Linked DNA regions of Macaca mulatta. The protein of the gene in region 2 purifies or fractionates together with the protein of the main gene of each other region. This does not show direct contact. Links are inferred from orthologs where the notes say so. Each region holds a gene or a part of one and is shown on either strand. Other genes may lie near its edges.

Region 1 (6,437 bases), on a different chromosome or scaffold from region 2:
ATCTCACTGGTCTAATGCTCTTAATTTCTAATCAAAATAATTATCACAGTTATCAAAGACTCCCATATATCTTTATTGTTATATTAAAAGTGTATAGTTCCTTAAAAGCCCTGGTTACCAACAGGCATTGTTATCTTACCAGGAGATCCAACAGCAATATGACACTTTTTAAGTCTGGTTTTGTCTTGTGATAATGGGGTCCCTCCAATAAAGACATGACACTCTAAGCCTTCCATTTTGATTCCAATGGCTGTAATAACAGAATGTATCTGTACAGCAATTTCTCTTGTAGGGGCCAAGATCAAAATCTAAAAAAAAAACAAAGTATACTTTTGAGTCAGAGAAATAAATACATAGGGGACTGGTATATTCATTACATGACACACTATATTTCATTTAAATGATCATTTCAAACGAGTTTTTATTGATAAGGTAAGATACAGTTATCCCTTGGTATCCACAGGGGATTGGTTCCAGGAAGCCCTCAGACACCAAAACTGGCAGATGCTCAAGTCTGTTATATAAAACTGCATATATCTGTATGTTACCTATGTACATCCTGCCACATATTTTAAACCATCTCTAGATTACTTATATTACCTAATACAGTATAAATGCTATGTAAATGGTTACTCTGTATTTTTGTTTATATCTTTTTATTGTTGTATTATTTTTTATAGTTCCCCCACCCCACCCCTAAGTATTTTTGATCCACAGTTGGCTGCATCAGCTGATACACAACCTGAAGACAGGGAGGGCTGACTGTATTCCATTTATTCATTCATTCAACAAATATTAAGTAAGAACCTACTCTGTGCTAGGCAACATACTAGTTTCTGGGGAATCAACAGTTAACAGTGTAAAGTCTTTGCCCTCACAGTACTTTCATTCTTGGATAAGAATATATACAATAAACAAAAATAAGTAATGACAGGTAATGAAAAGTATCATAAAAAATCAAACAGGGAAAGAAGGAGTCATTTTATTTTATTTTATTTTTATTTACTTTTTTTAATTATTATACTTTAAGTTCTAGGATACATGTGCATAACGTGCAGGTTTGTTACATATGTATACTTGTGCCATGTTGCTGTGCTGCACCCATCAACTCGTCAGCACCCATCAACTCGTCATTTACATCAGGTATAACTCCCAATGCAATCCCTCCCCCCTCCCCCCTCCCCATGATAGGCCCCGGTGTGTGATGTTCCCCTTCCCGGGTCCAAGTGATCTCATTGTTCAGTTCCCACCTATGAGTGAGAACATGCGGTGTTTGGTTTTCTGTTCTTGTGATAGTTTGCTAAGAATGATGGTTTCGAAGGAGTCATTTTAAATGAGGTGATCATGAACCCTCCTCTAAGGAGGTAACACTTGAGCAGAGACCTACATGTACGGCATAGAGTAGAGCTGGCTATATGACACCTGGGGAAGCGTTTTCACCAACAGGAAACAACAAATGCAAAGGCCATAAGATGGCAGTGTTCTTGGTGTGTTTGAGGAAGAAAAAGAAGGCCTACATGACAGAATCTGGGGGAAAGTAAAGGAGGTCAGAGATCTAGCTCCAGGGACTAGATCACAAAAGGCCTTGAGAGCCACGGTAAAAACTTTGCAATGTAGCTACTGGAGAAGGAGAAAACAAAACTTTTGTGCTCTTAACTACGAGAAGAAAAAATTGATTAAAAAAAAAAAAGGACTAGGAGAAAATATGCCAAAACTGTTAATAGCAGTTTCTCTCTAGGTAGTGAAATTACAGATCTTGTTTTCTGGTACTTCCTAATTTTCCTGAACTTTCCCTATTTCTAAAAATTAATAGGTATTACTTTGTTACACACACAAAAAATAATGTAACTGTGATAATCCAAAGATCTGAAATTAAAAATATGAATTTGCCAGGCATGGTGGCTCACCCCTGTGATCCCAGCAGGTTGGGAGGCTGAGGCAGGCGGATTACCTGAGGTCAGGAGTTTGAGACCAGCCTGGCTAACATGGCGAAACCCCGTCTCTACCAAAATTACAAAAAAACTAGCCGGGCATGTGGTATGCACAGTTGTAATCCCAGCTACTCGGGAGGCTGAGGCAGGAGAATCACTTGAACCCAGGAGGCAGAAGTTGCAGTGAGCCAAGATTGTGCCACTGCACAATCCAGCCTGGGCAACAGAGTGAGACTCAAAAAAACGAATTTATGAAACTTTTCCAGGATTTTAGCATTTTATCTGTTGCCAAATTATCAGAAGCCAAAACCTCAAATACATCTTCGTCTACAATTAGACTAGCTCAGGTTCTTGGGAAGTAGGAGGATTTCCAATATGCAACATCACCTAGGATTTGGCAGATATAAGATGGACTCAAAAAGCTTCCCAGGTGATGAACATGGATATCTGGATTAAAAACCACTGTTGAAGACTCATCATCAGATATACCAATGCCTGAGAACTTGAAATACAGTCTGCCATAACAACTAAACTACAAAGTAAGGTTATGAGAATCACATCTAATTCATCTTTGAATCTCCAATGCCTGACATACTGTTCATACGTAATATGGGCTCAACAAATCTTTGTTGAAGAAATGATCCCCAAACCCAAATTTCCTGCTAATTTGGGTAGGGTAATCTTAGAAACACTCTAAGACAACCTAGAAGATGGGAGATGAATATGATACATTTACAGAGCTTTAAGAACCACCTGCATACCGGGTGTGGTGGCTCATGCCTATAATCCCAGTACTTTGGGAGGCAAATGTGGGAGGACTGCTTGAACCCAGGAGTTCGAGGCCGGTCTGTGCAACACTGAGGAGACCCCATCTCTACAAAAAGTAGCCAGGTGTGGTGGCACACACCTGTCGTCTCAACTACTTAGGAAGATGAGGTGGGAGGATCACTGGAGCCCAGGAGTTCAAGGTTGCAGTGAGCAATGATCCGCCACTGCACTCCAGCCTAGGTGACAGAGCCATACCCTCTCAAAAAACAAAAACAAACCCTGCAGTTATCAGCAATAGCCAGAGCACTACATTACCATGAATCAAGTCAAATGTTAAGTATCACATTAGTCAGTAAGTAAAAGAATCCCTGTCTGTATTACCAAGTAGTGAGAAAACTGACACGTATGGTAGCTTTATTCTATTTAAATAAGGTACGCATAGAAAATTCCAAAGTTCACCACCACCACCACTTAACTCAATCATTCATCAAATTCAATTCCAGCTCTGAGGGGCTACTGGTATTTCATCTGACCTGTGGTAAAGTCCACGTAACACATCCTCCTCTGGTCCTCTGAGCTAACTCACCTGGGTACTTAAGTTTTCAAGAACAAGAGAGTCCAAAGCTATGGTGGAAAACACACAGGTTTTCCCAGTGCCAGATTTAGCTTGAACAATTAAATCTGCGAAGGAAAAAAAAAAAAAAATTATCACTAGCCAGTACTCACGGAAGCAGCTTAGGGGCTCGCATGGAATCAGAGAACTAGAAGGGTCTCTGAGATTCTCCCAGTTGGCACCTTCATTTTTAGTTGATTCTCAAAAACGTAAGAGAAAACGCCTAGTCCCTGACCTTTTACCGTTTATCTTCTCAAACTTAGAACCACCTGTCAGTGCTAAAAAAGGTCTTAACCATCTTCAAGTTCAATAGTGCACCTTAGTTTTACAAATAAGTTAACTGAGCGTACCGCCTAGCCCCAGGCCGGGCCCTGCTCCGGGAGCCGACCGAGGGCTCTCCCCGAGCTGCAGTGCGGGCCTGGCTGCCGCTGCCGCCCCTCAGTCGCCCTTCTCCCGCCCCGACCCCCGAACTCTCCCGGGCCCCCGCTCTCACCGAGCCCGCAGCGCCCCAGCGGGATGGCCTTGAGCTGCACCGGCGAGGGCCTCTCGAAGCCGGCTGCCCGCAGCCCCTCCAGCACCGACCGCGAAAGCAGCAGTGACTCGAAGTCGGCCGGCTCCGCCAACAGCACGTCCCCCGTGCGGGTCCGCGGGCTGCCGAGATCCTGAGCGGTCCGCAGGCTCCTCATAGGCCCAGGTGTTGGCTCTGGGGCCGGGACGTGCACGGCCACATGCTCAGCTGGCATAGCAGTAGCCACTGCCGCTACGGCTCCCAGGGCTTCAAACGCCGCCGCCATGCTAGCCGCACAGTCAGATCTCGCGGTGCTTGAAGAGAAGCGGGGATCCTGGGAGCGAGAAAAGGAAAAACTTTATTGGCAGTTTTCCCACGAAGACACTAACACGCCTGGCTTGGAAGTGGAGGAAAGGGACGGGAGTCGGAGGCTGAGAGACTAGGGAACACTACCCACACACACAAAAAATGTGGCCTGAGGAAAGCAGCATGAGGGAGGAGAGGAAAGATGAGGCAACTGTTAAGTCGCTGCCTGGGGCCTGCAGAGGGCGCCGCGGGCCCGCGGTGGGGGCGCCGCCCCGCCTCTCGGCCCTCTTCTGGGCGGAGCCGCCAAGCCGTGCCCCCGGCGCCACCGCCCTCTCGGCGCTCTTTGTGATGTGCCCGTTGCGTCACGCCCCCGCCCCGTGCTTCCGTTTTCCGTTCCGCCAGCCTGTCCCGTTCCGCGGCCGCCTCTTCCCCAGCGCTACCCGCTCTGCACCCTGAGTCGCTGCTCCTCTGTGCTGGCAGAGTGCGCCCAGAGCGTAGCCGGGCCCAAGGGTTTACTACGTTGACTGGTGTGTCCGTCTGCTGTGCAACCCAATTTATCTCCGGACCTTCAGCCCCTAGCAAGTCCCTGGCGCACAGTGAACTCTGATAAAAGTACGTTGAATTGGAACCTGGAACCGGACTGACATTTCCCAAGTTCATATCTCCGCCTCAGATCTCCCTTTAGACTCTAGACGTGTACATCCATCTGCCTCCATGCATCCACCTCCGCAGCACCTCCCCTCGGATGCCTAATAGACTCTGAAATGTTACATGCCTTCTGTATTGCTCCTTTCCCCATCATTTCATGCGTAGGCGGCTAGGAGTCTCTGCCACTTTTCCTTGCTGTGGACTTCTGCCCAAATATCACCTTTTCAAAGAGCTCTGCCTTTTAAAAGAAGTCTTGAACACCCTAAGACAGCTCTGTCATCCTGTCTGCTCCCTGGTCTTTCCCAGCACTCTCTTGTTTTGTTTTGCTTTATTTTTTCTTTATGATACTTACAACTACCTGAAATTATATGTCTACTGCCTGTCTCCCACACTCTATGAGGACAAGGACCCATTTTGTCTTGTTCTCCTCTGCATCCCTAGTGGGAAAAGCAATCTGACACATAGGAATTGTTCAATATTTATCAAATGATTGAGCTCCTATAACAAACTCTTAGTCATCATGCCAAATTTAAATATTTCTGGACCTCAGCCATATTCATTATTCCAAACTTAGCTGTATGGGGTGGCTCGCACCTGTAATCCCAGCTTCTTGGGAGGCTGAGACGGGAGGATCGCTTGAGGCCAGGAGTTGCCAGCCTGGGCAACATGCAGAGACCCTGTCTCAAATTCTTAAAAAGTAAACAAATTTTTTAAAATACGAAGAATACCAAACTTAAATATATTCTGCAACCAAGCCCAACTTTGTCCATAGATTATAATACTGGTCATTGTCCCTAACCCCTTCACACACACACACACAGTGATGGTCCAGATTCCCTATGATAGAGGAGGGGCTTTGACATGGTAATCCCATTGGAAGGTGGTCCTGACGGTTTATATTGCCTGGAAATTTACAAAACATTGAGAAAATGTCAACTATCCGTTTGAAGGAATGGAGACTGATGGAGGAGATGGCACTAAAGGTCCCAGCCTTCCTCTTAGTGCCCTCACCTCTTTTATCTGCCTAATCCCCAGACCCCAAACTTGGGAATTATTCTTGACTCCTTCCCCACTTTCTAACAATTTACCGAGCACAAGTAATTTTGCCTCCAAATATTTCATCCATTCTTCTTAAGTCTCCATAGCATCTGCCCTATTTTAGGTCCCTGTATCATCCTAATTTGCAAAAACCTCCTGAATGGTCTGCCTGGCCAGAGTTTCTTCTCTATCCCAGCCGTGTACCCCACAGGTGCTGCAGTGATCTTTCTTTCTTTTTTTTTTTTTTTTTTTTTTTTTTTTTGAGACGGAGTCTCGCTCTGTCGCCCAGGCTAGAGTGCAGTGGCCAGATCTCAGCTCATTGCAAGCTCCGCCTCCCAGATTCATGCCATTCTCCTGCCTCAGCCTCCCGATTAGTTGGGACTACAGGTGCCCGCCATCTCGCCCGGCTAGTTTTTTGTATTTTTTAGTAGAGACAGGGTTTCACCGTGTTAGCCAGGATGGTCTCGATCTCCTGACCTCGTGATCCGCCCGCCTCGGCCTCCCAAAGTGCTGGGATTACAGGCTTGAGCCACCGCGCCCGGCCAGTGATCTTTCTTAAGTGGATATCTTAGGCTCTTTGGGTCCAGCACCAGATCCTGCTCCTTTTGACACCCTTTTTTATTCC
Region 2 (4,788 bases):
AGACTCACAGAAGAAGGTGAGCGAATACTGAGTACTTTTAAGGAGCTCTTTTCAGAAAAGCATGCCAGTCTCCAAAACTCACAGAGAACTGTTGCTGAAGTCCAAGAGACCTTGGCAGAAATGATCCGCCAGCACCAGAGGAGTCAACTCTGTAAATCCACAGCAAATGGTCCTGATAAGAATGAACTGGAAGTAGAAGCAGAGCAGCCCCTCTCCAGTTCTCAGAGCCAGTGGTAAGTACTGAGGCAAGTGCAAGATGGAATGAAAAATAACCCTGCTGACTAGGAACAGTGGCTCGTGCCTATAATCCCAGCACTTTGGGAGGCTGAAGCAGGAGGATCACTTGGCCCAGGAGTTTACCACCAGCCTGGGCAACAAAGTGAGACCCTGTCTCTACAAAAAAAAAAAAAAAAAAAAAAAGGCCAGGCACAGTGGATCACGCTTGTAATTCCAGCACTTTGGGAGGCTGAGGTGGGCGGATCACTTGAGGTCAGGAGTTTGAGACCAGCCTGGCCAACATGATGAACCCCATCTCTACTAAAAATACAAAAATTAGCCAGGTATGGTGGCACATGCCTGTAATCCCAGCTACTTGGGGAGCTGAGGCCAGAGAATCACTTGAACCTGGGCTGCAGAGGTTGCAGTGAGCCAAATTCACACCAATGCACTCCAACCTGGGCATCAGAGGGAGACTTCATCTCAAAAAGTACAAATAAAATAACCAGGTGTGGTAGCATATACCCTGTAGGTACTTAGGAGGCTGAGGCAGGAGGATCACTTGAGACCAGGAACTCAGGTTCAGCCTGGGCAACATATTGAGACCCTGTCTCTAGAAAAATTAATTTTTTAAAATTAGCCAGTTGTGGTGGCATGCACTTGTAGTCCTGGCTACTCAGGAGGCTGAGGTGGGAGGATCACTTAAGCCCAGGAGTTCGAGGCTGTAGTGAGATACGATTGTGCCACTCACATCAGCCTGGTTGACCCTGTCTCTACAAAAAAAAATTAAATTTTAAGAAGCCAGGTGACAAAGGAATTTTATTTATAAAATGAGATAAAAGTTACCCAGGCAGTGGCACATGTTCTCAGGACCTCCTGGGGGCTGTGTCATGGGCAAAAGTTTAAATTTTAAGAAAATTTAAAAAATAAAAGATAAAAGTTACCCAGGCATAACAAAAGATAATCCTGTTCAAGGATGGGCAAAGGGCTTGAATAGATATTTCTCTAAAAAGCCAGTAAGCACAGGAAATGATGCTCAATATCTGATCATTAGGGAATTGCAAATCAAAACTACAGTGAAGTAGCACTTCATAGCCATTAGGCTACTACCAGAGAAACAGAACAAGTGTTGGGGAGGATGCAGAGACCTTGGAATCCTTGTGCCTGTGGGTGGAAATGTAAAATGATGCAGCCACTGTGGAAAACAGTATAGCAGCAGTTCCTCCAGAAATGTAAAATAGAATGACCATAGGATCCAGCACTTCCACATCTGGGTATATACCCAAAAAAATTGAAAGCAGAGTCTGAAATATGTGCACACACCTGTGTTCATAGCAGCATTATTCGTAATACCCAAAACATGGGAGCAACCTAAGTATCCACTGACAGATGAATGGATAAGCAAAATGTGCCATATCTATATGATGGAATGTCATTCAGCCTTACAAAGGAAGGTCGTTATGCTGAGTGAAATAAGCCAGTCACGAAAAGACACACACTGTATGACTCCACTTATATGAGGTACTCAAAATAGTTAAAATCACAGAGACAGAAAGTAGAATGATATTGATAGGGGCTAAGAGAAGCAGAATGAGAAGTTACTGTTTAATGGGTATAAAATTTCAGTTTTACAAAACGACAAGAGTTTTGGAAATGGGTGGTGGGGATGTTTTTCACATTATGAATGTATTTAAAACCACTGAACTATATATGTTTAAATGGCTAAAATGGTAAGCTTTATGTTATATACATTTTACCACAGTAAAATCAATGGGAGAAAAATGTTACCCAGGGCAAGACATACAACTTACACCTTTTATTTTTTTCACTAGTAAAGAAGAAAAAAATGAGCCACTTTCTCTGCCTGAATTAACCAAAAGGCTTACAGAGGCAAATGAGAGAATGGCGAAATTTCCTGAGAGCATTAAGGTAAGAGTTAAAGCAGTTCATTTGGTAAAGCATCACTTTTTGTGTTATCACTTGACTATACCACGTTCTTATAGGTCAGCTACCTCTCTGTTCAGTTTCTAAAATCTCTACCCATTCATATGAGCTTAAGAATTTAGAATCCAATTACTTTGGTTAGCTAGGATGTTTTGTGAGAATAGAATTATTGATCACACAAGTAATTTTATACCTCAGTCTTCAGAGAAACTAAATAAATGTAATAGGTAAGAAGTAAAATTTAGATTGGTGCCATGTATTAGACAGCTTACAGATGGACAGGTCTTTTTGGCTGTGGGCCCAAATAGTAATAGAAGCACCATTTTTAAGGGTTGATTTGCATAGTGCTGTAGAAAGAGATTGTGCCATTGAGAAGGACATCCCAGCAACCATCCCAGTTTTCAGTGTCATTTCTCCTTGGAGTAACCGTTGAAGAGAAAGACAGGACATTGCCTTAGGAGAGAGCTGGATCAGCTGTGTCCAAGAAATGTCTATAGATGAACCTGATTCACTGGTGCCTTCTGTGAAGGTGTTTGTGGCTCCTTTGCAAATGCTTCCTTATTCATCCTCATGTCATCATCTTTCAGGCCTGGCCCTTCCCAGATGTGCTGGAGTGCTGCCTCGTCCTGCTTCTCATCAGGTCCCACTTTCCTGGGTGTCTGGCCCAGGAAATGCAGCAGCAGGCCCTAGAGCTTCTTCAGAAATACGGCAACACGAAAACTTACAAAAGACACTGCCAGACCTTCTGCACGTGAATTTTTACACACCTTGAAGAAACTGCCAAATTGAAAATGTTTGACACCTTTCACCTCTGCAGTTCCACCTCACCAGACATTCACTCTGGTCCCTAGCTGTTTTTGCAGTAATCCAAATGAATACAAACGAGGATTAAGTTTGAATCAACCCTGCCTACCCACAGACACAGTGGATCTGACTTTAGACTCAATTGTGGTCTCCTGCTGGAGGGAAGATCATGTAAAGCCCGCAGTAGTTATTCAGAACTAATACCTGCAGAGTGTTGGTCATCTCTACAGCCTTAGGCAGGTTTCATCCAAAGAGGAGAAACTTCTGTCATCACCCAAAGTGTTACATGCTTAAAACACAAGCTACCTTTATAAATACTTCATCTGATCAGAAATGTGTCATGCTTGTTTGAGATGGAGTTGCTGCATTTTAGGACTATTGATACTTTTTTAAAATTGTTTTTATAATATTTAATTTGAAAGCGGAGACCCTTCTCTGTCTTCTCTTTCATAGATTGAAGTTTGAATTTGAAATAGGCCTTAACCATCATGTTGACTCTCCTGTCAGAATTTTAGGTTGGAAATTTGGTTTTATTCTTTTATGTAATTGCTTATTTGAACAGATCATTTACTAAAGCTTTAGAAGAAGTGATTCAAATGTGTGTTTTCCCTTCAGTTTTATAACAGATGGATCGATGGCAGTCAAATAGCTCAGGAATAAATTACTGTTCCAATGGTTTTTAAACTTTCTTGGATTATAGGATCCTTTTGAGAATCAGATTAAAGCCAGAGATACTCTTTGGAGAAAAATGCATGTTCCTAATTTTGCATAGATGACCTTTGGATTTTTGGACTCTGACAGTTGGGACCCTAAATACTATTTAATTGTAAATCTTTTTTTTTTCTCCTCCTTGGTTATTTAAACAGTTGAACAGTGTCAGGAACAGATGTTTCGGTAATGTCACAGTTGCTAGGATGGGAAAATCACAGTCTGGCATGCGTGTGGGAAGGAATACGCCTTTCACATAATTGAACTGTTTTATCTAGGATTCATTGTGAAGGCTGTTCTGCTCACGTTTGTAGTTTATTTTTCAGTTAATTCCTAGGATTGGGATTGGGACAGTAAGAATGAAATTCATTTACAGGGAGTCCCAGGAAGGAAAATGTTTAAGGCAGTTTTCAAAGATGTGTATGTGCCTAGCATTAGCGTTTAATAAACTCTACAAAGGGAAATACTGTAGAATTTAGATCCTCACAGTTCATACAGTTAAGTGAACTTTAGGAAGATGATGCTTTCTTACTAGAGATGGAGAATCTTTCTTGATTGAAAAGATATAAATAGGCATGGCTAGGTGGAAAACTGGACACCAGTTCTACAAACTGCTAAAATGAACTTTGCTTACAGAGGTGGAAAAAATATATAGTCCATTCCACTTGAGTAAAGAGTGATATTGTTAAACTAGAATTCTAAATTCATTTGTGATCTGTCGGAAGCATCACCTGTGGCTAGAAGGGTCCTGCTCACTCCTCAGTTACTGCTTTGGTAAGAACAAGATTTACTATTTGAGTCCGGGCGGGGTGGCTCATGCCTGTAATCCCAACACTTTGAGAGGCCAAGGCAAGTGAATCACTTGAGGACCGGAGTTTGAGACCAACTGGGCAGTATATATGGAGGCAGTATATATTTGAGACGAACATTTGGTAGTATATATGGAGGGACTGAATTGCACTCAGTTGCCTGGTGCTATGGTGCAAACCTATACTCTAGATACTATGGAGGTTGAGGCGGGAGGATTGCTTGAAGCCAGGAGTTCAGGGCCAGCCTGGGCAACATAGCAAACTCCCATCTCTATAAGTAATAAATAAAATTTTTAAAATGAATTAT
Region 3 (5,661 bases), on a different chromosome or scaffold from region 2:
CCACCTCAGCCTCCCAGAGTGCTGTGATTACAGGCGTGAGCCACCGCGACCAGCTGAATTATTTTAAATGAAATTCAAGATAGCACACCACTTTGGTCTCTAATAAAGACTTTTAAACATCATAACCACAGTGCCACTATTACATCTTAAAGAGCTAATATTTACTAATTCCTTAACCTCATCTATGATCCAGTGTCCAAATTCCTCAATTGGAACTTGTTTGTTTGTTTGTTTTGAGATGGAGTTTTGCTCTTATTGCCCAGGCTGGAGTGCAGTGGCGCGATCTCGGCTCACTGCAACCTCCGCCTCCCGTGTTCAAGCAATTCTCGTGCCTCAGCCTCCCGAGTAGCTGGGATTACAGGAGCCCACAACAACGCCTGGCTAGTTTGGTTTTTTATATATATATATTTTTAGTAGAGACAGGGTTTCACCATGTTGGCCAGGCTGGTCTCAAACCCCTAACCTCAGGTGATCTGCCCGCCTCGGCCTCCCAAAGGTGCTGCGATTATAGGCGTGAGCCTCTGTGCCCAGCCTGGAACTTTTTTTTTTTTTTTTGAGACGCAGTCTTGCTCTGTCACCCAGGCTGGAGTGCAATGGCGTGATCTCGGCTCACTGCAACCTCCGCCTCCCAGGTTCAAGCGATTGTCCTGCCTCAGCCTCCTAGGTGGCTGGGATTACAGGTGCATGCCACCACATCCAGCTAATTTTTGTATTCTTGGTAGAGACAGGGTTTCACCATGTTGGCCAGGTTGGTCTTGAACTCCTGACCTCAGGTGACCCATCTGCCTTGCAGGATTACAGGCGTAAGCCACCATGCCCGGGCGGAACTGTTTTTAAAAAGCATTTCTGGCCGGGTGTGGTGGCTCACGCCTGTAATCCCAACACTTTGGGAGGCTGAGGCGGGCGGATCACCTGAGGTCAGGAGTTCAAAAACAGCCTGACCAACATGGAGAAACTCCATCTCTACTAAAAATACAAAATTAGCCAGGCATGGTGGCGCATGCCTATAATCCCAGCTACTCAGGAGGCAGAAGAATCGCTTCAAAGAACATTTTTGGCTGGGTATGGTGGCTCACACCTGTAATCCCAGCACTTTGGGAGGCCGAGGCAGGAGGATCACTTGAGCCCAGGAATTCAAGACCAGCCTGGGCACCATAGTGAGATCCCATCTCAATTTTAAAGTTTTTCTAGAAAAGGGAAAAAAAAAAAGACCCACAGTGGATTTTGGTTGGTTAAGACATAGATAAACTAGGCTGGGTGCAATGGCTCACGCCTGTAATCTCAGCACCTTGGGAGGTTGAGGCAGGTGGATCACAAGGTCAGAAGTTCGAGACCAGCCTGGCCAATACAGTGAAACTCCATCTCTACTAAAATTACAAAAATTAGCCGGGCATGGTGGCGCACACCTATAGTCCCAGCTGCTCAGGAGGCTGAGGCAGGAGAATTGCTTGAACCCGGGAGGTAGAGGTTGCAGTGAGCCAAGATAGTACCATTGCACTCCAGCCCGGGTGAGAGAGTGTGACTCCGTCTCAAAAAAAAAAAAAAAAAAAAAAAAATGGCAGGGAGGGCTAGGCACAGTGGCTCATGCCTGTAACCCCAGCACTGTGGGAGGCCTAGGCGGGCAGATCTCAAGGTCAAGAGATCTAGACGATCCTGGCCAACATGCTGAAACTCTGTCTCTACTAAAAATACAAAAATTAGTTGGGCGTGGTGACACACACGCCTGTAGTTCCAGCTACTTGGGGGGCTGAGGCAGGAGAATCACTTGAATCCGGGAGGCGGAGGCTGCGGTGAGCCAAGATCGCGCCACTGCAGCCTGGCGACAGAGCGAGGCTCTCTCTCAAAAAAAAAAAAAAAGACATAGGTAAACTAGTTATAGCAGACTGTGACTGTGCTGTCCAGGCAAGAGGTGACCTGGGTGGTGGTGATAGACACAAAAAGAAGAGTCAGGTTTGTGACACTTAGAAAGTAACACAAATAGGTCTTGGTGAGAGACTGAGCAAAGGATTAGAAAAGGTGTTAGAAACAAATTGCATGGCAAAAAATGAGGTCATGACCAGCACACTTGAATGTCTACGTCCCAGAGAAAACACCCAAAGGAAACCAGGTTGGCGGCAAGGGAAAACCCCTGTGGTTTGGACACTGATTCTGAGATGCCTCTGAGGCATCTGAGGAAGGACATCAAGGCAGCGTTCTGACAGCCAGTGTCCAAAGAGTGCACCACCAGATGCCTCTGTCACACTTCTGTGTAAGCACCCTGAGGAAACCCTGCACTCCAGGATTTGGAGGAAAGGGATTCATTGAAGTTCACAGGTATAGGAGGAAAACCTGTCTTCTCACTAGAGTCATGTCATGTTCTGAGAAGTGCGTCATTTGATGGTGATATCGATATGCAAACATGAGACGGCACTTCCGCGAGCCTAGATGGTATACCTCACAACACTCCCGGGCTAGAGGGTGCGTCCCACTGCTCCGAGGCCAAGCATGTTACTACGCCAAATACTACAGCAACCCTAACACAATACTAAGTATTTGTGCATCTAAACGTATCTAAGCATAGAAAAGGTACAGTAAAAATATGGTATAATTTTTTTTTTTTTAGATGGATTTTCGGTCTTGTTGCCCAGGCTGGGTTGCAGAGAGCGGACGCGATCTCGGCTCACTGCAACCTCCGCCTTCCGGAGATTCTCCTGCCTCAGTCTCCCAAGCAGCTGGGATTACAGGAGCCCGCCACCACGCCCGGCTAATTTTTGTACTTTTAGTAGAGACAGGATTTCACCATGTTGGCCAGGCTGGTCTTGAACTCCCGACCTCATGATCCACCCGCCTCGGTCTCCCAAAGTGCTGGGATTACAGAAGTGAGCCACTGCACTCGGGAAAATATGGTATAATCTTATAGGATCACCATCACACCCACAGTCCCCTGCTGACTGAAACACTGTTATGCTGCGTGTGACTGTACAGTTTTCACCCTCACAATAAAGAGCCACTGGAGGTTGACATCTGACCCTCTTATGAGTTTGCTTAATGGCAACAATATATCTGTCTTGTACTCCAATTCCTCCTCTATGTGGAGGGGATGGAACAACCTCAGCCCAAGGGTTGAGGAGCTAACGTTAGAGCCAGGACAGATCCACTCGCCCACAACTCATCGCCTCAGCCTGTGACTCCCAGCTAGGTTGTGGGAGTCCCTTAACTGTCCTCCCCTGCAGGAGGAGCCCAAGGTACTGGGGTCTCCCTTCCTGCCAACTTTTACCCTATGTTCTGCTGCTGAAAAGCCTAAACCAAAAACAGTGCTTGCCAAGTGGCAGGGGCTAAATAAATGAACTAACAACCCTGCTCCCTGCAAAACAGGCTTTGGGTGACAGCAGGGTCCTGGGTATGACCTGGGAAGAACACAGAGGGTTTGGGGGAGGAGAGAGCCGAATGGTGGATGAGAGACTTACACATTTTAAGCTCTGTCTCCACTTCTTGCTGTCGCCGCTCAATCTTTTCCCGTCTCTGTCAAGAGAAAGGGAAAGTAGAGAAGTAAATGCAGATAGAAGTGTCCTAGTGTCAAGGACCATTTGGAAACAGTGGCAAAACAGGGGGTCAGGAAGCAACAATGACATACTTTCCTCTCCATGCGCTCCTCTCGGGTTTCTGCACGAGTTGGAGGCGGGGCATCTCGAGGGTCCTGGGAACAAGAAGAGAGGTGACAGGGTGGGAAGGACTAGGGGAAATGGCAAGGGTCACTCACCAAAGAAATAAGCAGGTCAACCCTCCCACCCCCACCCCCTACAAAAATAAACATCCACTCACACTTCCCCTGTCACAGTGCAGGGAGGGGAGTGGCACAGATCAAAGCATGGTCTGCAGCCACGCACAGTGGCTTTCCACTTGTAATCCCAGCACTTTGGGAGGACGACACAGGAAGAATGCTTGAGCCTAGGGGTTTCAGACTAGCCTGGGAAACAGTGAAACACCATCTCTACAAAAAATTTAAAAATTAGCCAGGTGTAATGGCACACACCTATAGTCCCAGCTACTAGGGAGGCTGAGGGGGGAAGAATCTTTTGGGCACCAGAGGTTAAGGCTGCCGTGAGCCATGATTGTGACACTGCACTCCAGCCTGGGTGACAGAATAAGACCCTGTCTCAAAAACTAAGCATGGTCCATGGACCAGTACTATCCAAACTGTTGCTGGACTGTGATAAGTACAGGTAAGTACAGAAACCATGAGTAAGTGTTCAGAAACTTCTACAGTAATTTCACAGTTTGATGTCCACTGACTGTAATATAAATTTGGTCTTTTATTCTGCAGGTCTTTTTTTTTTTTTTTTTGAGACGAAGTCGTGCTCTGCTGCCCAGACTGGAGTGCAATGGTGCGATCTGAGCTCACTGCAACCTCTGCTTCCCGGGTTCAAGCGATTCTAAACCCCACTTTCCCCTCTGTGTTTCTGTGTCTCTAAAAGGAACCCAGGAACCGACTAGAATCCTTCAAGCGGTTCTCCTGCCTAAGCCTCCTGAGTACCTTGGCTTACACGCACACGACAGCATGTTGGCTAGTTTTTGCATTTTTAGTAGAGATGGGGGTTTCACCATGTTGGCCTGGCTGGTCTCGAACCCCTGTCTGAGGTCTTTCTTTAAAAAGTAATTCTATCATATATACCAAAAGCAAACAGATTGGAAATAGTATCTATCCTTCACCAAAAACAGTTTAAAAAGCACTGGTACGGGTGACATCTAGCTTAAGAATACAGTGTTTAGAAAACACATTGCTTCTCACAGCTCCAAGTATCACTTGCATTGAACAAACTGCCAGAGGATGTGATGGGAATGAGTGATGACAAGGCCCTGCTGATGAGTGCCAGTGAAGAGGACCAGGCCTGAAACAACATGAGCTGACAGAACAGGGCTCCAAAGCCCACAACTGCACACCCTCTGAGGGCCAAGGCAGTTCTTCAAGGTCTCACCAACTACACATTAAATAGGAACTGGCTGGTGGGGTGCGGTGGCTCACGCCTGTAATCCCAACACTTTGGGAGGCCGAGGCAGGCAGATCACAAGGTTAGGAGTTTGAGACCATCCCGACCAACATGGTGAAACCCCCTTTACAAAAAATACAAAAATTAGCCAGGCATGGTAGCGCATGCCTGTAATCCCAGCTACCCAGGAGGCTGAGGCAGGAGAATCCCTGGAACCCCAGGAGGCAGAGGTTGCAGTGAGCCAAGATCGTGCCACTGCACTACAGCCTGGGCAACAGAGCGATACTCCGTCTCAAAAGAAAAAAAAAAAGTACCTGGCTACCAGGCATGGTGGCTCACACCTGTAATCCCAGCACTCTGGGAGGCCAAGGGGGGTGGATCACCTGAGGCTAGGAGTTCGAAACCAGCCTGGCCAAAATGGTGAAACCCCATCTCTACTAAAAATACAAAACTAGCCAGGCGTGGTGGCGCATCCCTGTACCCCCAGCTACTTGAGAGGCTGAGGCAGGAGAACTGCTTGAATCAGAGGTTGCAGTGAGCTAAAATCACGCCACTGCACTCTAGCCTGGGCAACAGAGCAAAACTGTCTCATAAATAAATAACTAGTGGCCGGGCGCGGTGGCTCACGCCTGTAATCCCAGCACTTTGGGAGGCCGAGGCGGGCGGATCACAAGGTCAGGAGATGGAGACCACG

What was found.
Region 1: the proteins of GEMIN5 (region 2) and DDX20 purify together in Homo sapiens (affinity purification with western blotting; 6 studies listed by BioGRID and IntAct, counting the BioPlex papers as one, with this or other methods). This does not show direct contact. The link is inferred for Macaca mulatta from reciprocal best matches to the Homo sapiens genes GEMIN5 and DDX20.
Region 3: the proteins of GEMIN5 (region 2) and SNRNP70 purify together in Homo sapiens (affinity purification with mass spectrometry; 4 studies listed by BioGRID and IntAct, counting the BioPlex papers as one, with this or other methods). This does not show direct contact. The link is inferred for Macaca mulatta from reciprocal best matches to the Homo sapiens genes GEMIN5 and SNRNP70.

What each region holds. Positions count from the first base shown.
Region 1 is NC_133406.1:128,480,433-128,486,869, forward strand, and holds the start of DDX20 (putative ATP-dependent RNA helicase DDX20), read right to left. Parts: upstream 4,129-6,437; 5' UTR 4,107-4,128; coding exon 3,806-4,106; intron 3,381-3,805; coding exon 3,286-3,380; intron 309-3,285; coding exon 140-308; intron 1-139.
Region 2 is NC_133411.1:163,755,483-163,760,270, reverse strand, and holds the end of GEMIN5 (gem-associated protein 5), read left to right. Parts: coding exon 1-233; intron 234-2,048; coding exon 2,049-2,145; intron 2,146-2,747; coding exon 2,748-2,915; 3' UTR 2,916-3,555; downstream 3,556-4,788. UniProt on the Homo sapiens protein: The SMN complex catalyzes the assembly of small nuclear ribonucleoproteins (snRNPs), the building blocks of the spliceosome, and thereby plays an important role in the splicing of cellular pre-mRNAs.
Region 3 is NC_133424.1:61,537,673-61,543,333, reverse strand, and holds part of SNRNP70 (U1 small nuclear ribonucleoprotein 70 kDa), read right to left. Parts: intron 3,677-5,661; coding exon 3,614-3,676; intron 3,502-3,613; coding exon 3,447-3,501; intron 2,875-3,446; exon of another isoform or gene 1,816-2,874; intron 275-1,815; exon of another isoform or gene 1-274. UniProt on the Homo sapiens protein: Component of the spliceosomal U1 snRNP, which is essential for recognition of the pre-mRNA 5' splice-site and the subsequent assembly of the spliceosome. SNRNP70 binds to the loop I region of U1-snRNA.